2 linked regions of the Caenorhabditis elegans genome follow. The protein of the gene in region 1 interacts with the protein of each later gene in a pairwise test. Each region holds a gene or a part of one and is shown on either strand. Other genes may lie near its edges.

Region 1 (15,341 bases):
TGTCTCATGAGTATTTTGGTAGTTCAATCTGACAATTAACAAATTGTTATGCAGGATATTCGCAAATTTGGCAATCCTTATCATATCAATTACCGTCAAAGGTGGAACATACCATGTTTGAAACGAAATGAAGTCAATTGGAACATATAGAACGGTTACAGTATGCTCGATAAAGTATAATTTGATAAACTTTATTTTGTAAAACTATTGTATCAATCATCTACGGCATTAATCCTCAACCTTGAAAATAGATATGAAAGTAAAGTTGACAAGGCACAAAATTGGAACATAGTGATCGAAAATAAAGATATCTATTAATTGGAAATTGTTCGGCGAGGGGCTCTTCGAAACATTTACTGGGGTTTTATGAAAGTTTCTTCTAAAAAACATAATTTAAGATTGAGAGGTGCTCTCAATCAATTCAATATTTTCAAAGAAATAATCATATTCTGTGAAATCAACACTTAAATTATACATTTTTTCATATCTTTTAAAAAATGGAGTTGTATTTACAGGATTTAATGAGATTGTTGAGAGTGACGTCACTGACGAGCAGATATGTTTCAAACATGAACTAATTAGTTTCTAGTATAGTTTTGCCTAGTTTCTTATATATTAAGCAGAAACAACGGACCAGTTCTTCAGCTTCTGAGAGTAGATTATATCTTAGGAGCATACATGAGCACTGTATGTACCTTCTTTGTCTAACTTTCTTTGAGTATCTAAGTCTCTTCAGGTTCTATATCCATCATTCAACCAAATGACACTGCAGGGATGCCTATCTCCTGACTGAACCCACCAGTCGTCTCTTGCTCATATTCCTCCTACCTTCTGCTTCTATTTTCTCAGCGCATCTTGTCCACCTACAGTAGTAAATCTCCTCCCTTTCCTTACGTTGCATTATGAGATATCTCCCAATTTTTGTGTTTCTCGGATCATTTGGCTATACGGAAACTACATTAACAAAGGAACTTATCAAAGATGCAGCTGAGAAATGCTGTACAAGAAACCGTCAAGAATGTTGCATTGAAATTATGAAATTTGGGTGAACCGCTTTTACGAGCACGAACAATGCGATAATCGGTATAATTTAGAACCCCAATTCGATGTGGTTATGACAGGGATCCGAAGCTACCCGGATATGTCTACAAATGTCTTCAAAATGTGTTGTTTGCAAAAGAACCAAAGAAAAAGATTAACTTGGATGGTGAGCGTTTTTTTTTCAGGTAAAATTCTCCTCACAAGCCAAGATATCAAGTTTTGTTTATTCTTAAGAAATATAGGAAATGACTAATACGGTATGTACAAGTTAGTTTTAACTTGAGGAAAATCGAGAAACCGGTGGCATAGCGCCCGCCCGTGAGGTCATTGATTGGCCGGAGGCAGAAAGACCACACGCATTGAAAAGTCACAATATCTTTTCTGCCTCTTTCATTCGTATACTCTTTGGAAATTTTCAATAATTTTGAACATTTTTTTTTTAATATTCTTGCCTCAAATTGTTTTGAAAAAAATCAAAGTAAATCATCAGAGGCTTCTCTGATTTCAAAATAATAGTTAGAACGTAAGTAAAGAGAGAGCGTTTGAAATTTTTCATGAGTAAGATTATTATTACTACTTATCTTTAACTATTTGAAATTTAAAAATGGCATGCAATGTATGGGAGAAATATTTGAAGAAAGCGCCCAAGACTTCAAGAATATCTGAATTTGAGGAGTTATATCACAAAAACTGAGCCTGCAACCTATACTAAAAAGTATACCAAAACAAAGATAAAATTAAAGTCTTTGTTTCTGAGTATTTATTATCATTTGAAAAATTATTTAATAACACGTAAAACGTCTTCAAACTAACCCCAATTTAGAATGTTCGCGCTCTCTCTTGCTGAAATCAATTATAACTATGATAGAATGATTATTCGAATAATTCATAAGGGCTATTATTTTTTCACTTTAAATTATAAAACGAATACTTTACCAATTTTGAAACAAAGTTTCTGCCAATGTGAAATTAAACTGGAAATTGAAGTTTCACCGCTAAGTTCGAAAGCAAATGTTGGGCATTTCCATAATCCGAGTTACAGCAGAACGAGATGTTATCATATAGTAAAAAAATTGTTCAAACATTTTTCGATATTTTAGAAATTAGAAAAAATGCAGTACGATGACGTAGACAATGGTAAGAGGAGGAAGATAGTGCGTATGTGTGCGCAGAGAGGTACAAGGCTTCGGGCATTGGGCAGTCGCCACCATACGCTCGATCGATATATTCAAAGTCGGTCAGGCTTTTAACAATTTGAAGCTTACTGATATCAGTAAATTTGTGATAAATGTCAAGGATACCGTGTCTTTGAAGCAACTTAAGCTCTCTATAGTTTCCTGATTTGATTTCACTTCAACATACTACATTTCCAGTTATTGATAACACTTATCAACTAGCATTTAAACATTTTCTCATATCTATAATAATGTTTGATTTCCTGTAAATAGTTTCCTCTTCCATTTCGAATTGTAATATTTCCCTCAATAACATTGGAACCTTGTTCAACTAAATAGGGATCACTTTGACAACACCTAAAGCATCTACAAAAAATTTTTGGTAATGTAACAACCAAGTTTTCTAAAAGAATTTGACATGCTCTATTTGTTAGAAAAACTTTTTGATTATGTTTCAGGCTCAGTTTTTGAGATATTCAACTCTAAAGTTGCAACTTGTTCTAGGTGGTCCGTTCAATTGTCCTAGGGTTGTGCAGGCAATTGGTATTGCGCAGGGAGAATAGACGGACCCTTGTGTCTTGCGTACCACCTGTCATCATGTTTCGAGAGTAGATATTCTTCAAACCCTCAAACTATTTAGAAATATATTTTTTAGCCTCAAAAAGTTACGTTTTTCGTTCAGAATTCTATTAGGGCTACGTTTTAACATAAGTTTTAAAATAGGCTTCTTTATTTGTTTTTGAGATATTCATGGCCAAAAAAAAACTTTACAGTATTGAATTTGGCTCTAATATTTTTCAATACTTGTTCTCTACAATGTTAAAAAAAAATTAATTTCGCCTACTCATTTGATCATTTAATAGATTTATGAAAACATAAAAATTATGATAACAATGTCTTTGAATTCTCTGATAATGTTCATAATTTGTTTTGATCTTTCTCGTGTTATCTCTCCAAGATAAAAGAGTGTTCTACTGCGAGCACTGATACCATATCTTTGCATGTTTATCCTTTTATCAGTTGACTCACTCTTTTGTTAGGTGTATTGATTAGATGGGAGACTCCCCTGCAACAATTGTCCTACAGGAGCAGAGCAGTTGCTTTTTTTCTTTTGACATCTTGCATTTTTCGTTAGAAAGAAAATATTTAAGTGCCGCCGGGAGCAATCTGTTTTATTTACAAATATATCAGAATGCACGGCATCAGCTAATAAATATTGAATAAGTATTTTCTTGTTCTCACCCCTGTACAGTTTGCTTTTCTATTCCTCATTACACCTCCCAATCCAGGTGTGCTTGGTCCTTCATCTTATTAGATCTGCCATACGGTATAGGAATTACGATCTACAGTCGTCATAAAAGAGTCCGCAATACCGTCATGTGTGTCGAGTTGCAACAAAAGAGTATATGGGAAATGAGAGACTACGGTAAATGAGAGATACCGTAGACGAGATATAATGTAAGAGAGTGGTAGATCAAATGAGATGAAAAACGCGTCGATTAGGTCCATCCAGGAGAAACTAGATTGCGTAGAGCAAACATAGCTGTTTTGACGGGAACAATGTTTTTTGAGACTACAAATATCATAGCTTCAGCTACATCTGAGGTTTTCAAATTTTTCTCGAATAGCTGATAAAGTGAAACTTCATAATGAAGGTAGATATCAGTGCTCAAATAATGTATACCGTATTCCCCGTTATTGTATTAGACCTTATTGTTCAATTTTACCAGCTTATATTTTAGTTAGCGTTTGTTCTATTCAAATATTGCCAATTGAGAAACTATTATTTCTTTTTCAATTGCTTGCAGTTAAAATTTATTGATATCTTTAAAATGAGTTGATAGTGAGATATAAAGCTTTCAATTAAAATAATGTGGTGCAATACTATTAGAGAAAATACAGTAATCTTACTAAACTAAATGCACGCGTGATTAAATCCAAAAAGTACAGAACTTAATTGGTTTATTTAGGTGCGTTCCCCTGAGCAGAAATTGTCTTAATATAAATTAATTTGAAAATCTGAAATTCGAGAAATTTCTACTTTCTGTAAAGTTGTGAATATTCACTAATTTTATTGATAATATGAGGTTTATAGAAAAACTTACAAATGCATTTGACTCACAGAATTGCTATAATTTTACGATTTCCCAGAAGAGACTTTCCCAAAAGAAATCGTTATTTTTGAGGGACAAATTGTCTTAATTATCGATCTATTATTTGCCTCTTCACACGTAAAACATGCCAACACCTGTCTCTTTTGACTCCGCCTCTCTGATTGCCCCGCCCATTTGCCCATCCCACGCCCTAATCTCATATTGTCTTTATTCAGACTCCGTGTGCTGCTCCGTGTTTGGCAACGACCAAAACGATTCTGGAAGAAGATGTGAGAATCGTTGCAAGAACCTCATGACCAGCCCTTCCATCGACGCTGCCACACGTCTGGACAGCATCAAAAGTTGCTCGCTTCTGGATAATGTACTGTATAAAGTGAGTTTTTGTTAACACAGAATTTCAGTTCGCCTATTCTAGTTAGACAAACGGGTAAATTGAAAATATTCGGTGCAATCTGTCTTATGGTTTTTTCAGCTCCTGCCTATTTCAGTACGTAGTCCTAATTTTTCCAGTTTTAAAGAAAGGATCCCTAGTTGACCAAAGCCAAGTTTAAAAATATTAAATTATCTCCAACTCTGTAAAAACGGCTGCGATTTGCAGACTTTTTCTTGGTCCAGGCAAACAATTTTGGAGTTCGTCCCATCCATTCCCTCGTCTATAAAATTCATCCTAAAACGGAGAAAATTAAAAAAAAAATTCAATTGGCAAGCGGAAAATCCGATAGTGGATAGATATCACCCCAAAAATTGTTCGCCTAGGTTGAGATACATTTTTGGAGCAGTGCGTCAGTCCAGGAACCACGTTTTTCAAAGATATCTCATTCGATATTCTAATCGTTCAATTCGAGTTAATCAAGTGTGTCATAAAACAAATTTATTTTTCAGTGTTTTGAGAAATGCCGGAGCCTCCGTAAAGATGGTATCAAAATTGAAGTGCTCCAATTCGAAGAATACTGCAATGCAACGTTTATCCAAAAGCGAACTTTCCGAGGAGTCTGAATCTGGGCTCATTAGCCTAAAACATCCCTAATCCGCCGTTGTCATTATGGCACTCTCCATCATGAGTGGTCCAATTTTTTCTTTTCTTTCTAAACCTTTTTATTTTATTTTTTGTAACACCTCTATGTCTACCTCTTAATCAAAGCTTTGAGCTTTACTCACTTTGAGTTATATTTTTAATCTTGTGTTCTCCTTATGTTGAAGAAAATTTTCGATACGCAACTTGTCATATTGTTGTATATATTTTTAATAGAATTTTTTGAAATGTCCTATTCTTATTGATTTCTTCTTAACATTCTCTTCAAGAATGTTTTCGGATGCGCTCAGATGTCATGAAGGCGCACTACGGTGCGGTCCTGATTTTATTTATTTTTTTTTTCATAAAAAATATATCTTCTCTTGTTGGTTTCTCCTAAAGTTGTCAAATATGAATATTCAAGTACTTTCTACGATCTTTTTTATTGAATAAATTGTTTTATCAACGCACAGAACCCATACGACATAATCAACAAAAAATGATAAGAAAGTGATTTTCGAACTACAAATTTTATCAATTTTTTTTCAATTCTCTGCTTTCTAACAAATTCTAAATTTTATTTGTAATTTTAGTTATTCAAACTGCAAAACGAGCAAAACTTTATTTCTTATCCGTTTTGAAAGATTAATAAACTAAATGTAATGTTGTTTCTCATATTCTGCTTGTTATTTTAAACTGAATAATGCTTTAGAGCTAGCAAGGAAAAATCAATCAATTCATTCGAAATTGATAAAATGGCCATTAAGGTTTTTTTTTAAATTTTATGTGTTAACACATGTGTTGGGTTTCATCATAAACTTGTACTTGGTGGAATTCAAACTATATAAGTTTAGATTTTTTGTAAATCAACACAAGTTACCAAAACTGTTCAGGCGTGATCCGAGTTTGAAGTATGGATTCTGCTAACTTAAGTTTAGAATACAATATAAGAATAAAGTTAAGAAAACAATTAACTCAAGAAATGCCGATGTTCTTAAAAGCAATTTTCAATGTTCAAGCCATAGAATTTAAGTACTTTTTTATTGACTCTCTGCTAAAAACCAAAAATGCAAAAACTTAACTGCCAAAATATGATTCTGATCTAGTTGTTTTCGGAATGACTACATTAAGCTCAAAAAATGCAATGTGAGAAAACCAAATGTCATTCTGAACTATTTTCAGATGTTCCAAACGTTTAATATCTACGGCTATACAATTGAAACTTATATTCAACTGACTACAAAGATGCAACTCGCTGAATTTTGAAACTCTCCATGATCTTAACAGAATTTTCTCGTATGACTAAGTAGAACAGAATAAAACAGAAATCTCACAAGTTATAGGGCACCTTCACTTACTGAAAAGCTGAAAAAAAAAGCGAAAAGAACTGTTCATGTTTGCCTGACGAATGACTATTAACAAATAAGCTTTTTTTCTCTTCTTCTTTCGACTCTCTTGCTCACATTTATCTTTGTTTAAATTTCAGGGCATTTGTCGTAATTCCACGAAATTTCAGATTTCAGCTGAAAAAAGTATTAGTGCTCCAGCAGGTGAATAAATTTATAAGAAACATGTTTATATTATTTTATTTTCAGAACAGAGCAATGAACAGTTTCATCCTAATCAGGCCGAAGGCCCACTGTTACAGAATAATGGTAAGTTTGGAATTAAAAACGCAAACAGTTTCTTTGTGAATATTAAACTTAGCCTATTATTAGTTACGATAGAAGTCACAACATACAGTAACCAATCCTGTTTTTTCTCCTTTATCTTCCTAGATTACGTAAATATGAAATAGATTAGATTTAAAAAACTTCCAATTTGTTCGATGAAACGGTCCATAATCGTTTATAAATATTTTAAAAATCGAACCGAACGGCACACGCGTGTTGTTATTTTTATATATATAACCTAAAAAATAGAACTTTGTAATATTTTTACGTGTTCTTTTTCAAACTTTATCTGAACTGAAATGAAAGTTTATTTCAATTTCAGCGAAATGTATTGGAACGGGAATTCCAACAAATATCGTTTTTATATCAAGCTTGATAATGGTAGGGGATTTCAAAAGCTTTTTTATTTCCGAAAACGAAAAAACAAACTACTTTTAATATATTTGAACCAGTTTCAAGCCTACTGTACGGCTTTCAAGGGAGACGCACGATAGCGCGCGATTGGGTGTCGCCCCGCGAACTATTTTTTGACGCATGCGCCTTTAAGTGTACTGTAGAAATTCTGCGATGAATTTTCACGCTTTTTTCGATTTCTCTCTTCATTTCCCTTCTATTGTCTTCCGTAGGGAATCAAAATCATACAAAGTTTTTAAAAAATTAATAAAATTTTGGATTTTGTAATCTGTTTTATCGTCTGGAATTTTTTTAAGCTTAGAAAAACTTAGTAAATTATGTAAAAGTTTCGAGATTGTTAGCATTTAACTTATTGATCATCTCACTATTGTTGATGAAATTTTTTGTTCAAACTTTTGATGTTTTCACTTTCTCCTCATCTCTTCCGTTTTTCTACAGAGATTTCTTGATCTCTCAACGGTGACTCAACATTTTTCATTCTATACAACTGTTCCCTCACTTTAAAAATTTCTATATCTCTATGATATAGTTTTTCTTTCGATTCATGTTCCAGTGTTAGATGTGAAACACTGCTTTTAAGCTTCACTGCTTTTTCAAAAGAGTAGTGGTCTTCGAGCATCAACACATGCGTTTCTCTTGTTTCTCTCCTTTGGCCGAGGTCGTTGTATTTTTTGTTTGACCTGGCGAGTAAAAGAGAGACAACGTTTCATTGCTTTCTCTGTTCCTGTTTTTCATAGATTATCACGTCGTTCTTGTTCCGACAATACAAAAAAGTCACCGTTCAAACTAAAACCTACATTTTTGAATAGATGCTCTATATTGAGAACTACTTAAAACTCTTGTTTTCTGGTCGACATCGATTTTTTTTTGACGAGGCAAACCCCGACCATTGCAAACAATAGAGACGCAGATATCCAAAGCCTTGGTCAGTTTACTGCGTCTCTTCTCTCAACGAGATCTCATCACAATTGCCCGATGCTGCATTCTCGTGAAAGTGAAGAAGACGTGCCATTCTGTTGCGAAATCACACGTCTTCTTCTTCCACTGCATTTTGGTTTTTCTACTTATTTGAAGTCTAGGCATGAATGAGAAAGATAATACCCGTCTCAGTTTTCGAACGAAGAACGTTGAGCGTATTTACTTTCCTATCGACAAATATGAGTACATTCGTTCTTTCTGCTCGAACGCTAAAAATTCGTGCTCTAGCAACACCAGAAAGTACCGGAGTTTGAGTTATTTGTAACTGCATCTGAAAATCTTTCTATAATATTTTGTCTTCTTAAAAATCCGAGCACCAGTATAAAACACACAATTTTAATACTAAATCTGTAGAAGCTCATCTTTTTAAACTAAAATATGACAAATTCTTCATTCCTGAAAACAATCAAATTATTTTCATCTTCTCAACCATTCTAATCCTTCAATCTAGATATGACTTTCCCTCTAAGCCTTAAAATAATCTTATTTCTTCCTATAACTGACGCACATTTCTCTAGCTACTAGAATTTGTCTGAAAACAGACGAGAAATTCCCCTCGTGAGCTGGAGAACCATGTTTCCATGGAAACTCGAGTAATGTGATAAACAACTGGGACTTTTTAAATTGCCATTTCCATGAAATTCTATACTTTTTTGCTTCTATCTCACTTGTTGACTACATTTTATTCTTGTATTTTCGTTTCAATAATATTATTTAATTCCAGATATGTCGTACAATCAACAGCCATACAACCCGGCTTATCAGAATCCCTACCCCAATCAAGGCCCTCCGCCACCAGGATTCAATACAGGCGACGGACAAAATCAAAATCAAGGTGAGAGATTTTTTAAAAACAAAATAAAAAAGTCAGCGATATCAGAAGTTAGACATAAATTAAGAATATTTTAACTTCCAAAATAAATAAGTAAAGAAGATATCGAAACTTTTAGCAACTAGCTCTTCGATCAATAAATTTGATCATTTTTTAATTGTATTTTTGTAATGTGACGTCATTAATCGAAATACCAAAGGAAACCCGAAAAAAAATCGACAAAATTTGTTAATGCGCAAGGTGGATTTTTTTCAAAAATTTTACATTGAAACGTATTAAATTATATTTTCACAACTAACTGTTTTAAAACGATTCAAAACCTCAATATTCTTAAGGTGGAGCCTATTTCTCACCACCGCCACCAATGCACGGAGCTATGTTCAATCAGATGGAAAATGGGCAACACGGTGGTGGAGACAATCCAGATGGAAAGTATTCATTCCAATTTTCTGATAAGACTGTCCGCGCTGCTTTCGTTCGAAAAGTTTTCAGTTTGGTCTTTATCATGGTAAGTAGTACTTTCAAAAAGTTTTAAATCTATTTTCAAAAAATTTTAGCTTTGCATCGTTGCCGCAGTCACTGTTATCCCGTGGGTTCATGATGATACGATGAGAATGGTCCGCAGAAATTCGGCTCTCTACCTTGGGTCCTAGTATGTACATAAATTGAAATCTTGATTAATATTTAATATTTCCAGTGTAATCTTCTTCGTTACCTACTTGTCATTGGTTTGCTGTGAAGGAGTTCGTCGTAAATTCCCAGTTAATTTGATTGTCACTGGAATCTTCGTAAGTTCATTTTAATATAACAAGTTTCCCTTTATCAATCCAAAAATCGTTTTCAGACTCTAGCAACTTCAGTTATGACCATGGTCATTTCAGCTCATCATGATGCTAACGTGGTTCTTCTGGCATTGGCGATCTGCATTGGATGTACGTTCTCCATTGTCATTGTCGCCTCTCAGACGAAATTCGATTTGACTGCGTAAGTTTTTTTTTAAATCAAATCTTTTTTTCAAATGCTGTGCTAAACCTGCAATAAGCGGATTTATACTCTAACAAGCACCAATTTTCTGAAATTTAAGGTACCTAGGTTATTTAGTCGAATTTGAAACTAATTTTTAATATATTAAATATGTTCTGACAAGATGTACGCAGATTAATTTTTGTAAATAGCAAAATTGGCAAAAACTAAACTTAGTTCAGAAATTAGAATGATGACGAATAATTTATAACCACTGATCTTCAAAAAATATATCCGAAATACTAAATTTTCAGCCACATGGGATATATCTTAATCATCTCAATGTGCTTCATGTTCTTCGGACTTGTTGTCGTGATCTGCTCAATGTTCTTCAAGATCAAGTTCTTGATGATGGTATATGCTCTCGGTGGTGCTCTTATCATGATGCTCTACCTCTTCCTCGACGTTCAAATGCTGATGGGAGGAAAGAAATACGAAATCTCACCAGAAGAATATATTTTTGCTTCTGTTCAAATCTTCATTGACATTGTCCAGATGTTCTGGTTCCTTCTCAGTTTGTTCGGATCCAGGTAAGAAATTCATTGGGAAACTTTGAAATTTAGCTAGACATTCTCAATAAACCCTCTGGTTATTTCCAGAAACTGAATCTTCTATTTCTCTATCACATTTCGTGTGGTAAGGCGGTTGAGTTTGTGGTATTTCAAAAGGCACGTTTACTTTTTAGATTTTTTTGTGTCATTGTTCACTAACGCTGTATTAGTAACATTGTGCCAATTTAAATGAATGTGTATTATCGAAAAAATACGATCGCACAAATTTCTCATAATTTTTTTTTGATCTACGCTGTTGACTAGGCTCCTCCCCCAATCTTGTTGCCGCTGTTATTTTGTTGTGGCTGTCTTGTCGAAGGAAGGGGAGGAGCCTAGTCAACAGGGTAGATCAAAAATAAATTATGAGAAATTTGTGCGATCGTATTTTTTCGATAATATGTGAATCATTTGGTTGATAAAAGCAACAATTTTCAGTTTCTATGTTGTGAAAAGCTTTTTATCAACTTGTAAACCTAATTATTGTATTTTTCAGCGACTAAACAACGGCCTTCACCCGACTTCATCGATTCTCGATTCTTCAATTCCTTCTTCTTTTTCTGTTCTATACTAGATTCCATGCCTAATTTACACACTGGTAGTTCACTTTGTTCTTCTTTGCCTGTCCCCTGCTCTGTCCCTCACCCCGAAAAATTTCTAACAAAAAGAAACGAAAACTGCTGTTGTTTAAGATGTCTCGTTCGCTACTTTCCCGCTTAAACTCGTAATTATTTGTGAAATGAAACTTAATATATATTTTTGAATGAAATAAAACATGTATTTACAGCAAACAATAAAACATATAAAAATGTGAAAAGATCTAACGACCTCTTCCAAAGATGTTGAGAAGCATCAGGAAGATATTCAGAATGTCCAAAAAGATTTCCATCGCAGCAAAAATGTAATCTTCTGGTGATAATTCATATTTACGACCACCCATCAGAAGTTGTACATCAATAGCCAAATAGAACATCATTAAAAGAGCAGCAAGTCCAGAATAAACGGAATAAAGGAATTGCCAATTGAATGCCAAAGTGAAGATGAGTGCAAAGATTCCAAATGAGAAAAGAACCATTGAAAGCATGAAAGCGATTCCCATTTTGCTCGTCAAATCTGATTTCGTTTTCATCGAGAAAATAATGACTGATCCACTGCATACTGTGGTGATACATAGACAAATTAAAACTGATTGAACATTATAACAAGCAGTAACAAACATTGTCATGACTGCTGCCGAGAGAGTCTGAAATATACAATAATTTTAGATTTCCTTTTACGAAAATTAACACATGTTTCCAGCAATCCTACCGTAGCCTACCCTATCTCAAAGCACATTAAGAATTCTGAAATATCCAGAAAGAAATTGAAGTTATCTTGTCAAGAATGTTCATGGTTATACATATATTTTAAAGAAAAAAAACTATTGTCCACGAGGTGTCAGAGTGTCCCATGTCGGTTTGATCTACGTAGATCTACAAGAATTGCGGGAATTTAAACGCAGACTTCTCAACTGATTTCGCATCATTAAGAGCGTGCTGACGTCACATTTTTGGGAAACAATTCCCGCATTTTTGTAGATCAAGCCGTTATGGGACAGCCTGACACCACGTGATTTTAGTGGTTAAAATTAGGAAAATAGAATTTAAAGCGGCCCGGGACTCTCTAAAATAATGATTGCGTTTTTGGAATGTGATAGAACCTTACAATACGTTTTGTAACGTTTTTATTTTCTTCCTACTAAAAACCACTTTTTAAAAACCTTTTTACTTAAAAACTTACGAAAATAGTGAGAAGAATGATATTGACTGGAAATTGCCTTCTCAAATTACCACAGCAAGACAACGCAATTGCAACAACCAAAAATACAATTCTGAAATTTATATTATCATTCGAAGATAATCAAAACTCTATTGTAACTCACATCGCAATGAAATATACCCAAAAGTTGTTCTTAACCCAATCCTGAAACGGTTCTGATACCATAGGAATTACACAGAACGCTGCTGTGATGGCAAACTGAAAATGTGAAAAGTACAGGTTTGTTGAAAGTCATTTTGGATAAACTAACCATAATTGTGACAAGCATAAACACTTTTCTGACGAAGGCCGCCCGGACTGTTTGACTTCTGAAAATCAAAAAGTTTAAGATCTCCAAGTTTATTCAAAATTTTGTAACGTATGTGTTCGTTAATGTCTTTGTTTTTGGGAAAAAGAGAGGCACAGTCTTCCAAGGTATGTAGGCACGCCTAACATATACCTATATACTTAGAAGATAACCAAAAGTTTGCTTAAACACGTGAAAACTCGGAATTTAGGAGAAACTTTCTGGAAAAAAACATTAAAAGCTGCTGATTGCCAGCAAGTTTAAAAAAAAAATTGCCAATTTTTAACAGGAAGTTGCCCCTAAATTACTCTAATCAAATTATTTGATTTTTTAAATGTTTAACTAGGAAATTAGATGTTTTTCGTGTACATTGGCAGGTAGGTACGCATATAGGTACATAGTAGGAATAGGTCGCCTATAAAGCGATCATGCCTGTTTGTGCTTGTTTTTTCAGAAGCCTAAAACCATGTTTGGTCTGGAAAAGCCCAGTTATTTTGTATAAACAAAATAAACAATTAAGTGAATCAAAAAATATTAAAAAAATGTTTGCAACAATTTCGTCTAGGGTAACCTTCAGACTTTAAAAAATAATACTTACGAGAAATGCAAGTTGTACTTTCCATCTGGATCATCTTGAGCTGTTGTGGCTCCATATCCTTGCTCCATTCTGTTAACTGAAATGAACTTGAAATCAATAAATTAATAATCAGCAGCCTCAAAAAGTGGAGTGAGCGATTGGCAGTCCAAAATTTTTTGCCGATGACTAACAATCACGAGAGATGAAGAGACAGAAAGAGACTGCAAACGTTTATTTGCACATTGGAAATAGAAAATAGTGATGTGGAAATAAGAGTAAAAGAGAATGGAAATTCGAGAGCATTCCTGAATATAGGTACTTACTGAAGTATGTTACTTGATAGGGTATTATCTGAGTTCATGTGAAAATTGTTCTGAAGCAGTTATTAAACTAAAAATTTATCATTGATCATGATAATGTATGATAAATTCAGTTCAAAATTAAGGTAAACATCATTGACCCTGGGAAAAATGGAAAAAAGTATTGAGAAACTGTGAGCTCCGCGGAGCACAAATATTTGATTGATGATAGAGAGTTAGAAAATAATTCCCACATTTTTTATCATATAAAAAAGTTTGAAATTAGTGCATGCTTAAATATCTTGAAATTTAAGTTACTAAAACATACTTAAATATAGATTAAGCTTTCAGAAGGTATTCAAGTTGTAATTTTCCTTCAGAACAATTAATTTTTTAACCTTGAAAACAGTTGTTAAAGTTAGCAATGATTTCATAATATATCTAGAAAAAACCAAAAGAGAATGAAAAAAAGAGAAGAGAGAAAAGTAATGCAAAAACATGGAGTTGTTGACAAAAGGCTCGTTGATGTTTCTCTTCTGAATAACTACACCGGGCATAGTCACACGATTGAAAATGGAAAAATGAAATAGAATACGCAGTGACCGCCTTTTTTCATGTATGTTAATGTGAGTCATGAACTGGGTTTGATGAATTTTTCAGTTGCTACATGCTTTCTAGAATACCTAAATTTGAAATTACGTTGGTATATTAGCACTGGAAAATAACATTCATCAATTTTTTTTTAACTTTTAAAGTTGCTTAAAGCAAATTTAATAAATCTTTTGAAATCCTCTTATAAAAAGCAATAACTTAGGAATAAGTTCAACAAAGTGAGTTACCTGAAAGTCTTGCATTCCCTTAACTCTTCTTTGACAGCTCTTATCTTACGGTGCCCTTACTAAAAATATATTTAACAGTAAAAATACGTCCCAATTATTATTCCATATTTTTATAGTTAAACAATTTTTGATAAAGCCAAAACAATTCGAGATATGAACTGTCGAAGTAAAGCTGGTTTGCTTACGGTGAAAGACCATAGGAATCGCGCGCATGTTCTACTGACGTGTAATCTTCTGATCCGATACTCAAAAGGTTTGCACATTCAACAGTTCAACGATTAAAAGATGAAATTCAAGTACATTAAAATTTCAAATCAATATTCCAAAAGTGTTTAAAGCAATATTGAATTTTACCTTTGAAAGACACCAAAACGTGGTTTACCGTTTAAAAGGATAAATAATGAAATCGTTGATTATACAATGAAGTAATAGAAGAAATAGGTTCTATATGCAGTTTGAATGTACTGATAAGACGCCCCACATGACTCACAGCGATGTACCGTGCACCAACTTATTTGAATATGACTTGTGATGACGAAACGAGATTAGTTTCTGTGTAGTGGTGTTGCGAAATGGTTCTGACTCAATTATCTAATCAAACAATTTTCATTGGTATCATTGGTCCGGTTAATATTTAGATCACAACCCTTGGTAGTAGGTTCAACAAAACAAGAGAAAACAAAACAATTTTCAAGACTTCAAATTTTCAGAA
Region 2 (17,004 bases), on another chromosome or scaffold:
GCCAAGAGACAGGCCGAGGAGGAATCCCGCGAGAGACAAAATCTTTCCAATTTGTCGAAGAACTTGGCTCGTGAGCTTGAACAGCTCAAGGAATCCATCGAAGACGAAGTCGCTGGAAAGAACGAGGCTTCTCGTCAACTTTCCAAGGCTTCCGTTGAACTCGATCAATGGAGAACTAAGTTCGAGACCGAGGGACTCATTGGAGCCGACGAGTTCGATGAGGTCAAGAAACGCCAAAACCAGAAGACTTCGGAGATCCAAGATGCTCTTGATGCCTGCAACGCCAAGATTGTCGCACTCGAGAATGCTCGCAGCCGCTTGACAGCTGAAGCTGATGCCAACCGTCTGGAGGCTGAGCACCATGCCCAAGCTGTCTCTTCATTGGAGAAGAAGCAAAAGGCATTTGATAAGGTTATTGATGAATGGAAGAAGAAGGTCGATGACCTCTACCTCGAGTTGGACGGAGCTCAACGCGATGCTCGTCAACTTTCCGGAGAAGCTCACAAACTCCGTGGACAGCACGATACCTTGGCTGATCAAGTTGAAGGACTTCGTCGCGAGAACAAATCTCTCAGCGACGAGACCCGTGACCTCACCGAATCACTTTCCGAGGGAGGACGTGCTACCCACGCTCTCTCCAAGAACCTTCGTCGTTTGGAAATGGAGAAGGAAGAACTTCAACGTGGATTGGACGAGGCTGAAGCTGCCCTCGAATCTGAGGAAAGCAAGGCTCTCCGTTGCCAGATCGAGGTTTCCCAAATCCGTGCTGAAATTGAGAAGAGAATCGCCGAGAAGGAGGAGGAATTCGAGAACCACCGCAAGGTTCACCAACAAACCATCGACAGCATCCAAGCTACTTTGGACTCCGAGACCAAGGCCAAGTCAGAGCTTTTCCGTGTCAAGAAGAAGTTGGAAGCCGATATCAACGAGCTGGAGATCGCCCTCGACCATGCGAACAAAGCGAACGAAGATGCCCAGAAGAATATCAGGTAATTTATAAGTTTTTTTTTTGTGTACACCAACTTTTTCATTCAGACGCTACTTGGACCAAATCCGCGAGCTTCAACAAACCGTGGATGAGGAACAAAAGAGACGCGAAGAATTCCGTGAGCACCTTTTGGCTGCCGAGAGAAAACTCGCTGTTGCCAAACAGGAGCAAGAAGAGCTTATTGTTAAGCTTGAGGCTGTAAGAATTTTGTTTCGGAAAATCCCCTTGTATGTGATTTTTTTCAGCTTGAGCGTGCCCGTCGTGTTGTCGAAAGCTCGGTGAAGGAACATCAAGAGCATAACAACGAACTCAACTCCCAAAATGTTGCCCTCGCTGCTGCCAAGAGCCAACTCGACAACGAAATTGCCCTTCTCAACAGCGACATCGCTGAGGCCCACACTGAACTTTCCGCATCCGAAGACCGTGGACGTCGTGCTGCCAGCGACGCCGCCAAACTTGCTGAGGACCTCCGCCACGAGCAAGAGCAATCTCAACAACTTGAGAGATTCAAGAAACAACTTGAAAGCGCTGTCAAGGTATGTTCGCTTTAAGAATTCGCAGTTTTTTGGCCGTTCAGTGTAAAAGCGATATTTGTTTGTTTTAGAGTGTGCATCTTTTCCCACCGTCGCAACTACTTATCCTTTTGCGCGTCACAGATTTAAAGATTGTGTAAATAGAAAAAAAACGATCAGTTATATCTTTCATCCAATCCATCTTACAGGATCTCCAAGAGCGTGCCGACGCCGCTGAGGCAGCTGTCATGAAGGGAGGAGCCAAGGCAATCCAGAAGGCTGAGCAACGTCTGAAAGCCTTCCAGAGTGACTTGGAAACCGAGAGCCGTCGCGCCGGAGAAGCATCCAAGACCCTTGCTCGTGCTGACCGCAAGGTCCGCGAGTTCGAGTTCCAGGTTGCTGAGGACAAGAAGAACTACGATAAGCTCCAAGAATTAGTTGAGAAACTCACAGCCAAGCTCAAGCTCCAGAAGAAGCAACTCGAGGAAGCTGTATGTTTCATAGTCGATAAAATTTCAATTGTAAATATTATTTCAGGAGGAGCAAGCTAACAGCCATCTTAGCAAGTACAGAACCGTCCAACTTTCCCTTGAAACCGCTGAAGAGAGAGCCGATTCCGCTGAGCAATGTCTTGTCAGAATCCGAAGCCGAACACGCGCCAACGCCGAGCAAAAGTAGATCAACTGCTCTAATTCCATCTCGTTTCTCTCTTTTCTTTCAATCTCTTTACCCGTTTCTCTTCCCCTACGTCCCCCAAACCTACCACTGCACAGTAACACATACACATTCAACGTGTCACAATAAAAGCCCATCAACACCTTCTCTGTTGTTTTTTTTCTTCAAATGCATTTTTTTCACTTTGTTTAATAATTTTTACGCATCGGATTTGTAGGATAGTGGAAATTTGTCCTTCAATGCTTCAATTGATTCGACACTTCTCAATATTTTTGATCAATAAACCATTGATTTTCTATTTAGAAGAAGATCACTGTAAATAACACCAAAAACATCACAGCAAAAAAACTCCCACTCAATTATATTACTGTTTTTATTGAAACTAGAATAAATTTGAAAATCTTCAAAGCATACACAATTAAAAAAAACGAAAAAAGAAAAAGTCCCGTTGATTCTCAAACTTAAATTTTTAAACTTGTCTGAACCATGTTGTAAGTTTGTAAAAGTTTCCCAGTTGTCCTCGAACAGTTAACCAGGGAGATCCTGTCAGCTAGTTTAATATTATTTTCAGCTTTGAAACTAACGTTTCGTGTCACAAGAATATCAAAAAATAAACTTTATTAAAAATATCTAATAATGGTTGAACCACATATTTTACAAGAAAAATTCAAACATATTTACACTTTGTGATTTTAATGCGTTCATAAAAAAAATATCAAATCCTTGTTGGCACCATACTGACAACATGAGACATTGTTGCAGGAGACCTTTCCGCTGTATAAACTTCTCCTCCAATAATTCGTGTGCCGCGTTGACATGTTAAGATAGCAACAGCCACTTTTCGTTTGTTGAGACTACCAATGATCAAAAATATAGGTGTCATGAATGATATAGAAAACGTCATGAACGACTGGAATGTGATGAGATTGATGTTCGTTTGTCCACTTGTCAACACATAAAACTTTGCAACTGTGAAGACCTGCAAATTTAGCATTTGTTTGTGTTGCCTGGTTTAGTTTCTAATCTATCACAGTGCGTGTCTGATTTAGAAATGAACTCAGTTTCAGCTGCAGACTACGACACAATCACAAACTGAGCAACATTTTGATAACTATCTGGAAATAGAAAACAGTTTTTAGAGCTAGTAAAAAAATTGAAATTGGCATAAGTTTTCTCTAATAAAGCAGGTAAAACTATAATTCAAGTCGAGTGTAAACCTATAAAAAATGCGGACTGTTTTTCTAAAGTCAAAGGTATATTGAAGAGAACCTAACAAAAAACTGTAAATTATTTAAAAAAAATTGTAAAAACACAATAAAACTTTCAGATTTCTAAACGTTTGATGTCATTGTTAATGAAACAAATTTGAAATTTGATAGAGCGCATTTTTAAATAAAATATGAAATGAGCATCTCGTATGTACAAAGAACACCTTCCATTTATTGACTTTAATTAATTTTTCAACATTGCAGAAATTATGAATTTAGCTAAGGCAAAGCCCTAAGAAAAAACAAAGCAGGTTTCTGGACGAACAATTCCGCAACATTTTTTGGCCATTAGAAAGATAATTTTCAGCATGATAAAAAACATTCCTCTTCTAGGTATCATAATTATGCACGTCAAAACATAAATTGCTCGGTAAGACTAAAAAACTGACCATTAGTAAAATAGCAATTGGCACTGTTTGCAGCAATACAGTAACGTGCGCAGACATCCCCGATCTGGATCTTTTATCGATGTGGCGTATTATTATGATGCTCAGCAAAAGCATAATAAGAGACAAAACCATCGTGATCATCTCAAGCTAAAAACTATCATAGTATTCAGAGTATATCGAAAAATTCTCACCCATGGAATCTTGTTTGAAGCAAATATTTTGTTAATTGCAGAAATGATTGCAACAAAGTACAACATTGTCATGTTGAATGTCAATCTGGCTCTGCAAAGTTTAGATATGTTAAATTTTTTTGACATGTTTCATCAGTAATTACCCCGTCATCAGCTTTCTTCCGAGTTTTTCAATAGTAAGAAGCATGAATCTTTGCATGGAGGAAATGAAGATAAGGTAGTAAAATATTGTTGCAACAATTAGAGATCCATGAATTAGTAAATTTGTGAACACTGTAAACAATTTCTGTACATTTAAATTTATAACTTTAGCTTACGCTTGTATAAAAAACGAATCCATTCAGATTTTCCAGTGAACCCGTCGGTTACTCTTATTATCAAAAGTATCATCAAAACTATAAACGATCCAACAATGTGAACAGAGCTTAATGTCACCAGATTGAAATGAATCGCATAATATGATCTCTAAAAGTGCACCTTATTAAAAATGTACTAACGCAGAATAATGCTAAACTCACTTTGTCGTCAGTCCTTTTTGTCATGTAGTACAACCAGACGACTAAAACAAATGGTACAACACCAATACATGAAACTGTGAAATCTAATTCATGCTCAGCATCTTGCTGAGCACTTGAGTTGCTAGAACTCATATCCAAGAGTGATTAAACTACCAAGGGAGTGTAAGAACCACAAATGTTTTGTGATTGTCAAATATCAGATTGCAATTTTGGAGCAAAGACTTGATCAGCCTGTTACGTTTCAAAGCCTTGTTCAAATACATCTACTTATTCTAGATTTCACCTGTCCCGTTTTGTAAGGACATTTGACGTAGTAAGTTAAAAGGTTATTGAAAATTAATGCTAGTGCATAAAAATATCTAATGAACATATTGATAGCAAGGCAATGCAAAAACGCGAAGGTTCTAATTACCGAAATTCAGAAAGGTCCTGAACAATGAAGACAGACATTCTTTCATACATTTTTATTTGCGTTGGTGCAATAGAAATATCAGAACATGCTCTTTGCATTTAATGTTTTCTGTCAAACGGATAAAAATTATTAAAAAAAAAAATCTCGCCAATGCAACATTTTGAAGAGAATCTAAGTGAAACCAAAATAAGAAGTGATAATCGAAACTATGTTTGTTTCTAATGCACAGTCTTAACCAAAAAACACATTTTCATGTAAAAAAAAACTATAATTCGCAAACCGTTTTAAAGTGATATGAAGTTTTGAACTTGGAGTTTTTGAAACATGACGATTTGTTCGAATCAGCATGGAAGGCTTTCAACTAAATTAAAAAGTGATATAAAGAGCAACAAAAATTTTTATTCCACGGCAATGTTAGATTCAATTGATTGTTTAAAACTGCCTTTTTGCCAACCTATCGGTTGCAACTGTTGGATATAAACTTTTTCGAATATTCTAGTATTTTGTCAGCCGTTAAAAAATGCGTTTTAGAAGTTGAAAACCAATACTTGAAACAAAAACTAATGTAACTAAAACTCTGCAAAAGCTTCTAGAAAACTAAAATAACGTTCATTTTTGACATGGAATTGGAATTATAACATATCTAATTAGAGAGCCGTTACCAGAGATATTAGATTTTTTAAAATGCTAAACATATGAGTGCATTTTTTCAATAAAGCTTTAGACCGATTTTGCCGGAAATTGACTTCTACGATAGATACACATATTACTAGTTTAATCTATTATATTCAACAGTTGTTCAAATTTGTTTGCGTCCCCCCGTTTTCCTGCTTTATTTTCTTTCTCGTTTGCACTAACAATATGAATTGTATGCCCTGTTTCATATGTTATAAATACCCTGTTATGATGAATACACTTGCTGATAACAATAAAATTAACAACGTTACTCTTTAAATATTAACAGAGGAGAGGGTATTCGATAACAAGCACTTTATGTTTCAGGTAGTATCAGAATTGTCCTTTCACGTGTTTTCTATAATGATAGGACGGTTTTATGAAAATATTTTTTAAAAGTATAACCAATTGTTTTCCAGTTTAAGTTTAAATTTTGAGCAACATTCATTTTTCAAAATAATTTTTTCACTTAAAATATTTTTTTAATAGTGAAAACGATGAAGATTTTACAAATGTTTTTCCCCTAAAAAAGGGAAGACATTTTTTTCACAGCAACTCGCGTTATATCCTTCAAGTACTTTTTTTTATTTTTTAACATTTTATTGTAGTAGCTTCACCAGTTATATTATTCCATAGCATCATGTTTAATCACTTTTTATGGTTGAAGCTTCTGAATTTGAAAGGTCATCACTAGCTTTCAATTTAATTTTTTTTATTTCACAAAGCATCGCCCACTTTCCACCCCACACAATTTATTTTATGAATCGCTGCTTGGATTGCCCAAAAGCACACACAAGTGCACATTGGTCCTCGTACATAATTCAATGCCATAGTAACACACTTAGCATCCCCCGGCCGTTCTCGACGACGATTAGTGTAGTCCTAGCCAAAAAGTGTTCACTTGCACTTTTATTTTATTCAAATGAAGTGCGGTTCCATTTGGTGCTACTATGCTACACGTCACGTCGTTTTTTTTCCACTCGTTCTTTTTGTGTATACTAATGCAAAGTGTTTGTTTTTCACTGCGGGGTAAATTTAATCAACAGAGGTTCATATTTCTTGTGTATTGTTTATAAGATCATTCTTGTTGATACTTTTACTTTTGGAACAGTTTTGACAAGAAATGTTAGCTTTTATGTACTAACAAATCAAAGTGTGATGTGAAGAAATACCAGAACTTTCAAAGCCACTTGCAAGAGTATACACAATAAAAGTTTTCGTCGTCGATATTATTTGAAAGTGTTCCTTTCTTGGAAAAAAATTTCTCATGATTTGCTTTTTATTGGTTTGGTTTTCTAGAAGACATTGTTTAATATTTGAAGAAAATTGTCGGAAAAAATACTTGGGGTTCACTAAAAAGTTATTTTTCAAAGTATTTAGAGATTTCTTATTAGTGTAGTTGCGCGGTTATCGAATTTTGTATTTGAAAATTAAATTGTATACATACAAACATTGCAATATCGCCTACCTTACTACCGTACTAATTTTCCATCAAATTGTAGGGGTGTAAGATTAATATAAATTGCAAGAATTATTTTTGTGAAACTGATTTGACGCCAACTAAAAATATGAATGTTTTTCCATTAGGAATTTCAATGGCCATTTTAACTTCGAAAATTGACTTTACCCTAAAAACAAAAAAGTTTACAAAACAAATATTCCACAAAGTATTGCTCGCCTGTCAACAAGTCAATGCTAAACTATTAGGAAACCCAATATTTTCTCTAATACAACTACAGTCACAGGACAATCTATTATATTGTAGAATTTTCTCTGCATATTATTGAAATTTAAAACTTAAATTTGGTTTGGTCTTTTTTTCAAACCCAGTGGATGTTCGTCTGTTGAGCTTTAGAAAAGAAGGCAAACAGTATTAGTCAATGACTGATAAAATTATGCACAACCGAAATAAAAACTAAAGACAAGTAGAGAAAATACAGTATATCATTTTTTTTTCTATGAATTTTTGCTTTAATTAGTGGTTTCTTTATTTGGTTTATAAAATAAGATCGTAAAGTAATATAGCCGCTATCCCTTCCCCGTTTATTACCTTACTACTATACTTTTAGTGACCCACTTTCCATTTTTTGTCCGTCTTCCATTTTCGCTTGCCCACTCCTCTTCCTCCGCAACAAAAATTCTGCGACAGAACAAACACTGCGAGAGCGCCACCTCGTCCTCATCTACTGTGGTGGCCTTCTCACTGTCACTGTGCCGGGGACTCTTTTTCTCTGACTCTGCCCCCCCCCCCCTTGCCTCTCCGGTCGTTTGACCGGCGTACTGGCAGTGTGCCAGCCGGGGTCGTGTGCAAACGCGCTCCGTTGATATTTCATTGGATGCTATCCTTAATCGTCTTGCCCTCCTTTTTTCATGGTCACTTCTTTCATCTACCTGATTTTCGTTTCTTGCTATTGAGATATATCTAAGATTTTTTTTTTAATCTTACCAGTTTCTAAAAATGTGATTGAGTTTTAGGATTATTTGTCTTTAGAAACCTATTCTTCTCTTTTTTTTCTCTAACACTGTATTTCAAAAACTTTTTAAATTTCAGATGAACTTTGACAATACGGTTCATGAATCAAACTTTGATGATCTCCTGCATAACCCAAATTTTCCGCCGCAATTTGACCAGCTAGAGTTGGACGTGAGTTTTCTTTCTGTGTCTTGAAAGGACCACTAATACAAAATATCGATTTTCAGAGCCTACTTTACGGGACCGACGAATCACAAGAATCGACCTCTTCCTCTTCGTTTGGTTTCAGTGATCAGAATGCTGGATTTCGCTCAAGAGACGGCGGGAGTTTAGGAGATTCTTCGTCGGATAGCTCTCCACCGTTGAGTTGTGCAAACTTCACAGAAAATGACCAGGAAATGTGGGATTTTGGCTTTCAAGTAAGTTGTTTTTTTTCGCACAAAACTCGTTAAAAATGTTTGTCGAAACGGATCGTTTACACTCTATTGTTTAATGGAAATGTGTTTTATTTTAAACAACCTTACATGCAAGTTGTTGTGTGTATGATGTTTGCTCCTACCATGAAAACTTAGCACGAAGACAAAATTTTCCTACAGAATTACTTTACTTTTAATTTCGGGGTACGGATACTACACAAAATCTTGTTCAAAATTTAATATCAACTACAAAATCCTAATCTATCAATATCATACTTAGTCGTTTGTTTTGCAGAGTCGCAGTCCATTCGAGAATTTTGAGCAACAATTTGGCTCTCCATATCAGGACGACGAAGTGATTGCCGAGCCCACCAATGAATTCATGAACGCAAGATACCTCAGAGAAGAACCGGCCAAGCATTTGCCCATGCAACAAAAACGAATTATCACAATTCTCCCCAAACAGTCACAGCCTGTGAAACGTATTGTCAGCAGACCAATCCAGAAAGTATACCGCGTCAAGGAATCACCCGGCAGTCAGCAACAAACATACCGAGTTGTTCAGCCCTTGGTGAGCGATTGAACGTCAAGTAAAATAGTTTATTCGAATTTTTTTCAGATGCCATCTCCTTCACAAGCTACGCAACGCCAAATCAAGCAAATGTATTACAATGAGCCGGTTCAAGAAATTCATATGCAACCAAAAAGTGGTCCGCTGGTTCGACAAGTGTCCGAAGAGCCAAGATACGTTCCAATTGCTCCGACAGTAGATATCAAAGCAGAACCACAAGTGAGCTTATCTTCAAAACATATTTAAATTCATGACTTTACAATTTCCAGGTTTTTACTTCCGAGCAAAATCGAAAAATTCGGAACCGAATGTACGCCCAAGCCTCTCGCATGCGCAAGAAGGAAGCCGATGAACATATGAAAATGAACCTTCAGGAACTGCTTCAAGAAAACGAGATTCTAAGAACTGAGAATGCCGCTTTGAAGCAACGCCTTGCGTTTTTTGAAGTAGTTCTGAACTCATAAAAATTTTAACATTTTAAAATACATTTTCAGCACGAAGAGCCAGTTGTCGAAGTTCCACAACCCTTTGGAAGAAATCAGAAGAAAAAAAGAATTATTGCTGCTGGTTCAGTACTAATGATGTTCGGACTTTTTGCAGTCATCTCTCCATTTAATGTCGATAACAATTTGAATATAAACAATCAAATCATGGCAATTTCCAACGAAACTTCTATGGTTGCTCGCCACGGAAGAGTCATCACGTATGAAGATAGTGCTCCTGTTGCAAAAATTGTATGTGTACGAGCTTAATATTTAAAAATCTCTTATAAAAGTTTAGCCTACTCAACAACCAATCCACAACTATCCGAACTCCACTCAAAATGATTGTGATATGTACAAACTAAACGCCACAGAGACAATAAGGTGAGGGACTTGAAAATGAACAATTTTTATAACTGACTACTCTTTTCAGAGTAAACAACGACATTGAGCGCTGGGTACAAGTACATTCATTTGATAATGTTCCAATGAAGTTTTCGGGAGGACTATTAAATAAGGAAGCAATGCGAAAGTTCAACTACGCACAGAAAGTAAAACCAGCCTCAGTTTATGGACCACAGACATTGGCGGTTCAAAAGAAATCAGAGCAAGCGGCGCTCAGATCTCGGGAACGTACATGGAAGCAGTTGGATCTACTGAAGACGTAAGTAGACTTTTTCTTTAATTTAAAATTCATAATGACACGAATGGGCACACTACCGACGTAATCGAACTTCGAGTTCATGTTTTACTTTGTTCACTTTGTATTGAGATGACATGACCGTAATTGCAAACGAAGAAGTCGGACCAATTGAAAATTATTCAAATGCATTTGCAATTCCAGCAGCAAACAACAAAACTATTTCAATAACATGTAAATAATAATTAATTTAAAGCGGAAACAATATTCAACTGGATAACGAGAAAATTCAACGTAAACGACAAGATATTGACAAAATCGCTTCAATTGTTCGCCAAAAGGGAGATACACTGTACATTATGACACTTCAAGACTACGTGCTTCTGCCTTCATTGATTAAAGGAGCAAACTCGGTTCCCAAACTATCGTTGCTCCTGCCTAGTGTTCCAATGAATGGAACTCTCCAAGATCAGGTAACTAGGGAGTTCAAAAAAATATGATTAGTAAAAAAAAATATTTTTGTTAAACTGTAGGCATTGATTTCACAACTGTCAAATTTGCCTTCAGTATCAGAAAAAATATATTAATTGCAAAATTCTCATGTCTCTGTAAGTTTCCTGACGTTCAATGCGAGTTATTTTTTACAGTGACTTTAATTTGAGATTTAGAAATGAATTGATCACAGCCATTGGTTGATTGTAGTTTTTTTAAAATCAATTTGAACGTTCAAGTAGTAGGAGCAGTTATATTTGTGTAGATATTATCAAAAATGTCACTAGTGTTACGTTGCATCGTTATTAGAAAGAGAGACTTTGAAATTTTTTTTTTGATTTTTGGATTAACGGTTTCTTTCATTCTATGGATCTATAGAGTATTAACTGTAACTTTATATGTTTAATTTTGAATTGCCAGAATTTTGACAAAAAAAATTACCAAAGTAGAGCTCTAAAACTGTTGAATAATTCCAAGCTTTTACAAGTTGCAGTTAATAAAATAAAATTTATTCAACCAGTTTAAAAATTGATTTTACAACTCTGAGATATCATGTAGGAATATTGCTTGTGCTTGCCTGCGTGAGATTTAACGGATAGGTTTTACTCGGCATGTGTTCAACAGCTGCAATTTTTAAACCAGTTTCGTAATATGTGCAGCTTTTAGCTAGATTCATATGTAGGTTCACTTCAGTTTTATTGAGTTCAATTTTCAGTATACTCTTCTTCGAGTTGATTGTGAAGTGACAGGGACTGGCCAATTGACACTTTCCAACAAGCAACTTTCATATTTGATGCCGTGATACTGATATTGATCAACAACTACGCTTATTATATTCCCACTTTTCTCAATTTCCGTGCCTTTTTTATTCACCCACTTTACCTTTCTTCTTTTGATTCGTTTTTATCAATCTTTTATGTTAAATATTCATTATGCATTTCTGAAATCGCCGGTCACCGATCAACCTCTTTTTGTTGTACCCGTTTTCGCTGCGTCTCTCACTTTACATCAATCATATTCCGGTCTTTTTCGATTGTCTTTATTTCTCTCAAACTCTCTTATCTCAGTCTTATTCCTATTCCAACACATATGTATTGTATATTAATTACCATTCGTTTTCTCATCATTTTACCAGTTTTTCAGAATTTTATCAACCACAAAACTCCATACAAAATATGCCAGTCATTGTCTCACCAAGTTCTAGTTGAAATCACCCAATTCTCATAACATAGTCATTCAGTTACACCACCATTGATGATATTCATCTTTCATGATATGTTTTATTTTGAAAGTCACTTTATTAATCTCGGGGTCTTAATTTATATAGTTTGATGTTCCTTTTTCTATTCAAATTCTAATTATAAGTGCCTAATTATCTGGGATTTTTGCATTTTTCTTGTCAATAATTATCTAAATGAAGGGTTCAAAATATTAGTTTCAAACGAAAAATTGGGTTCTATGTTTACCTGCACTGGTTTTTCTACTAGCTTTGTTATTTTCCGTTTGTTTCTACCTATGTTGTCTTTTCTCCTCCTTTCTTTTTTTTTTAAAACCTTTTTCACCTTCTACCTCTACCTTTCAGAATGACGTCTCGATATATGGAACGTCTTGCAAAAATCGAGGAGGTACTTCTCATTGCAAATAAGAAAATCGATATTAACGAATTGAGAGCCGGGTGTAGCTACGGAGTTCCCGAATCTCTGCGACCGTTGGCATGGCGTTTGCTTCTGCACTATCTCCCATTGGAGCGTCACAAGTGGCAAACATTTTTGGCCGAACAGAGAGATAACTACGATCAGATGATTGAGCAGATAATCGTGGAGCCGGGAACAGCGTCTTTGCAGCAAAGTGCTGCTCAAAATCAGGATAATGATCATGTATGTTTTGTTGTTTCGTTAAAGTTTAAAGAATTCAAGTTAAATAAAAGAAAGAAATAATGTAGACATCCCATAGATTCTTGTATTCAAATATGTTATTCCCCAAAAAGTTGTTTTTAAAGGCAAATACACTTTTGAAATTACATGACAAACAAGATTTCAAAAAAAAACTTCAAATTGAAAGAATTTATACAAAATTTGAGTTTTCAACCTGTCTATAAAAATTACTTGTTTGAATCCTACAATGTCTAGATACAATTTATTAAAATAGACTCAAAACTTGAAAATTATAGACACAGTTTTTCTAAAATTGTAATATGTATGTGAGGACTAAGTGAACTTTTCGACTGTAAACAATGTAATTTTCAAACAATTTTTCCATCAAACTTCATTATTTTGGCAATGTTAAAGTGGTTTCAAAATTTTCTATTAGCACTACTCCACAGTTAAAATTTTATGGATGGTGTGTCAAATCAATCCAGTTAAAACATAACCTTTTTACTCTATCAGTTTGCCGAATGATGTAATATACTTTATTAGCTACGATATAACATTATTTTTTTAAAGCATTGAAATTGACACAAGCAAAACTGAATAACAAGTTTTTAATCCATAAAAAGAGATATGACTTCTAGAAATAAAGATTAATTTTTTGAAAATTGAATTATCTATCACCAACCTATCCGGGACTTTCCACTCAGTAGTTCACAAGTTAGAGATGTTTCATTTTTCTCATTTTGAGGTGCGCTACAGTAATCGCATGGGTTAAGTTCATCTGGTATTTCTTTCTGACCAATTTGCGAAACTATTTGGATTGTTGACTGTTCTGAACTTAGTTTCCAAACTAGTATTTATTATTATATTTATTTTGATTTGAATGTAAAAAAATTGATACTCGAATTAACAACGAAAAACGTTTGCTTTTAAAGTTGTAAGTCCATTTTGTTTAGCCAAGAACCCTTTTTTTTTTCTAAATTTCCATGATCCCGTTTTTTAGAAATTCTTTAGATTCAAAACGATATCAATATTTCGAAAAGGTGCATCCCTCGTTAGTTCAAAAAGAGAAAAAAAAACAAAACTTGTGTTCTGTTTTTTGCGTAGGTGCGACACAAAACTTTATGACTCTAAGATACGTGGGAACTTTCGAATATCAAGTGCGGAAACGTTTTTTCTTCTCAGAACCTTTAATCTACTCCCTCAGTTCGGTTTTCCCAAGCGCTCCGAAAGTGTAGGTGGCGGATAAGAAATTAAACATCACAATTTATACTATTATAGGAACAGCTCAAAATAGAAAGCTTAGTATGCCACCTAAGAGCAAGAACCATATATGAGCTCAAAAAGAAATATGTTGAATAATTAAGGATTTGTAGCTTTTAATCTTATTTCAAAGAGATTATCTATACTTTTTTTACGCATACAACTAAATACATTACACACCAATACAAGTTAATGAAATTAAGAATAGATACATATTTGTTCATGATTCATCAAGTTGAAAATATGATGCATATCTCATATCTGTATATCAGTTTAAAAAATACAATATCCCATACAAATTAAAAATAAACTATGTACAAAATTGCATTTTTATTTTTAACAATTTGATTTATTAGTTGTTTCATTCTTCTTATAATTTGTTTGCAAGATATGAACAATGACTGCAAATTTCATATATCGAATTCTCCCAGACCATTTAGAATTTGAATGGATAGAATCTTCAATTCTATCACTAACATTTAATTGATCATTCCTATGATGTTTAAAAGTGTGCACTCAACAAATCCATTTTTGATATTTTATTCATTTTTAATTGGTAAGAGAGAAATAGAACAATATTAAATCTCCTAAAACTTGAGCACTCTAAAAAATGAATGAAGAATTAAAAAGCGCTAATCTAACACTAAAACAATTTTTGTACTTGAGATATGGCGTGTATTTTTGCGTAATCGTTCGAATGGACAAAATTGAATGGAATGTAAAGGATATTTCATCTCAAGTTCTTATACTGATCAAAAGATAACTACTTGAGATTATTTAAATTTGAAAAAGTTCCTCGTTGGGTTCACCATCTGTTTATACCGGTTTCGTATGCTGAGTGACACATTTTGTTACTTTGTTCCTTACGCGCCCTTCACAAATCAAGTCCATGTGAAATGAGTTGACCTGCCGCCACCATTTTTGTCGGGACAGCAAACCCATCTCAAGTGGTGCAGGAATGCATAGACAACGTTTTTCCTCATAGCTAATTCAGACAAAAAAGCGACACAAGACATATCTACGTCATCTGAGCGTCGGGTTCCGTAGTTTGATCAAACGATCGTTAATGGAGGCGGGTGACGATATGTGAATTTGAGCAGGAACCCACGTGTAGTTAAAGGATGTTCGAGAGCACTTTTGACGGATTAAAATTTCCAATTATTTTGGGCTCAACAATGACAAATCTGAGAGAAATGATTCGAAAAAAAGGGATTAAAATAGATACGTCAACCAACTATTTCAATTCATTCTATCAGAAAGATGACTAATCAAATTGCAAACATTTTCAGCCACTCTCCGACCATCCAACCAGTGACTGGCAAGCATTCTTCCAAGACAACAAAGTTCTTTCACAAATCGACAAAGACGTTCGCCGACTGTATCCAGAAATACAATTTTTCCAACTGTTATCCAGATTTCCACATCAGCATGGAATGAAGTATCCCCTTTCTCGCAGAGTCATTAATCATCAGGAACTGCATTCACAAGAGTTTGGTGCAAATCGCGACGGAATAGTTGGAGTGAGTCTCTGCGATGTTTTGTTTGTGCCCTGTGTTGATAAATGCTAAGAAAAAGTGTAGATTAGCAGAAACTATTTTACTATCAAAAATTGGATTATAAAAAAAGTTTGCTCTTTTCATGAATGTAATCGTGTTGTTGTTAGAGCAAAAAAGCTGAAAAGATCAAAAAGATATCTGCGCGATGTTTGTATTATTGCAAAATCATCATATAGACGCAAAATATTAACTGAATAATTATCAAATTACAGTGTGTCAAGACAAACATTGCAAAACAAAGTCAAGACGAGAATCAGGCGCCCAATTCAGAATTCCACTGGCATGTAAGGATTTTTGCATGTTTCATTTTAGGGTTCTATTGGCAAAAGTAATTATAGATTTTCAGCAATTTTTTGAGTATTCCTACAAGTTTTCACAAGAGTCTTTAGTCTTTAGAAAAAATTGTTTCAATTTAATGCCAAACATACTAAATCAATTTATTATTAAGATTGTTGAGCGAATCCTCTTCATCTACGCCAAACTCAACCCCGGAGTTCAATACGTGCAAGGAATGAATGAGCTGGTTGCCCCAATCTACTACGTGTTCGCCAATGATGCTGACGATGAATGGGCCGCATATGCTGAAGCGGACACTTTTTTTTGCTTTCAGGTGAAACCCCATTTTTATTCAAACTTTAATAGTGTGCTTTAAGCTTTAGCCAGTGTAAGATCAAGAAGTATTTTTGTATTAGCTTTGTGCGCAGACGTTGGTTGTTGACTTAGCAATTTGATTAGTAGCTTAAATTTATTGAACTTTTTATTAAATTTGTTATTTTTTTACAGCAACTCATGAGTGAAGTCAAGGACAACTTCATTAAAAAGCTCGACGATAGTAACTGTGGAATTGGTATGTGAAAACGATGTTAGACAAGGAAGTGTAACGTTTTCGAAATGCTCCCCTTTCATTCAGCTTTAAATCTTATCATAGGATTGAGCAGACAAGCCAATAATTCAATGACTGATCATAAACACACGCTTGCAAATGTGAGAACATTTCCTAAAGTTTTGAGATTCTTTGTGCTTTGAACTTTAGCTTCTCATGAATGTTTTTTTCAGTGATTATTTTTTTTGCGCAAAAAAGTTTCGCACAAACATCGATAACATCAGTAGTTCTCAAGAAATGGAGGCACACACAAAACACAAATGAATCATGCGTTGCAACAAAATCTTTTCTTTTAGAATCGAGCATGTCAGCTTTTCATAATTTGATCTCAACTTTTGATACGGAGCTTCACAAGCATCTCACACTGACACTGGAAATTAAACCACAGGTAAACTGAAGCTAGAATTTCATGATTAAAAAATGGGTTGGAAATTTTTCCTTGCTTTTTGAAACTATTATACTAACTATACCAATAAAACAATATATCTTGAACTACAAAATCATTAAATTTACAGTTCTACGCTTTCCGCTGGCTTTCGTTGCTTCTCAGCCAGGAGTTTCCACTTCCAGACGTCATCACCCTTTGGGATGCTCTTTTCTCCGATCCTCAACGGTAAAACTTAACATTGTTTCACCATGTTCATGGTTGCTCTTCTTTGTAGATTTGCCCTTCTTCAGTACGTGTGCCTTGCGATGATGGAATTGAAACGCGAGCCTCTGATCAACGGA

The links.
Region 2: the proteins of tag-120 (region 1) and atf-6 interact in a two-hybrid assay, tested with the Caenorhabditis elegans proteins (one large-scale study listed by BioGRID).

The regions. Positions count from the first base shown.
Region 1 is NC_003283.11:9,696,227-9,711,567, forward strand, and holds tag-120 (Transmembrane BAX inhibitor motif-containing protein 4), read right to left. Parts: upstream 13,589-15,341; 5' UTR 13,581-13,588; coding exon 13,513-13,580; intron 12,937-13,512; coding exon 12,879-12,936; intron 12,827-12,878; coding exon 12,732-12,826; intron 12,681-12,731; coding exon 12,590-12,680; intron 12,054-12,589; coding exon 11,631-12,053; 3' UTR 11,545-11,630; downstream 1-11,544. Other genes in the region: Protein her-1, read left to right, coding at 903-1,045, 1,095-1,207, 4,546-4,703, 5,213-5,326; xbx-6 (Protein lifeguard 1-like), read left to right, coding at 9,134-9,242, 9,575-9,747, 9,797-9,891, 9,937-10,027, 10,084-10,223, 10,517-10,792, 10,862-10,868; F40F9.10 (tRNA(Phe) (4-demethylwyosine(37)-C(7)) aminocarboxypropyltransferase), read right to left, coding at 15,320-15,341.
Region 2 is NC_003284.9:12,472,769-12,489,772, forward strand, and holds atf-6 (Transcription factor atf-6 homolog), read left to right. Parts: upstream 1-8,179; coding exon 8,180-8,272; intron 8,273-8,328; coding exon 8,329-8,520; intron 8,521-8,812; coding exon 8,813-9,088; intron 9,089-9,136; coding exon 9,137-9,307; intron 9,308-9,357; coding exon 9,358-9,534; intron 9,535-9,582; coding exon 9,583-9,822; intron 9,823-9,868; coding exon 9,869-9,954; intron 9,955-10,003; coding exon 10,004-10,234; intron 10,235-10,466; coding exon 10,467-10,683; intron 10,684-11,417; coding exon 11,418-11,504; 3' UTR 11,505-12,136; downstream 12,137-17,004. Other genes in the region: myo-2 (Myosin-2), read left to right, coding at 1-989, 1,036-1,186, 1,234-1,524, 1,710-1,991, 2,038-2,178; F45E6.1 (Serpentine Receptor, class Z), read right to left, coding at 2,891-3,154, 3,833-3,979, 4,024-4,114, 4,167-4,296, 4,341-4,488, 4,542-4,673; tbc-13 (TBC1 domain family member 13), read left to right, coding at 12,286-12,579, 15,126-15,356, 15,605-15,676, 15,841-16,002, 16,176-16,239, 16,572-16,663, 16,791-16,888, 16,938-17,004. UniProt on the Caenorhabditis elegans protein: Transcription factor. Plays a role in the unfolded protein response (UPR), perhaps mainly during constitutive endoplasmic reticulum (ER) stress, by activating transcription of genes involved in the UPR.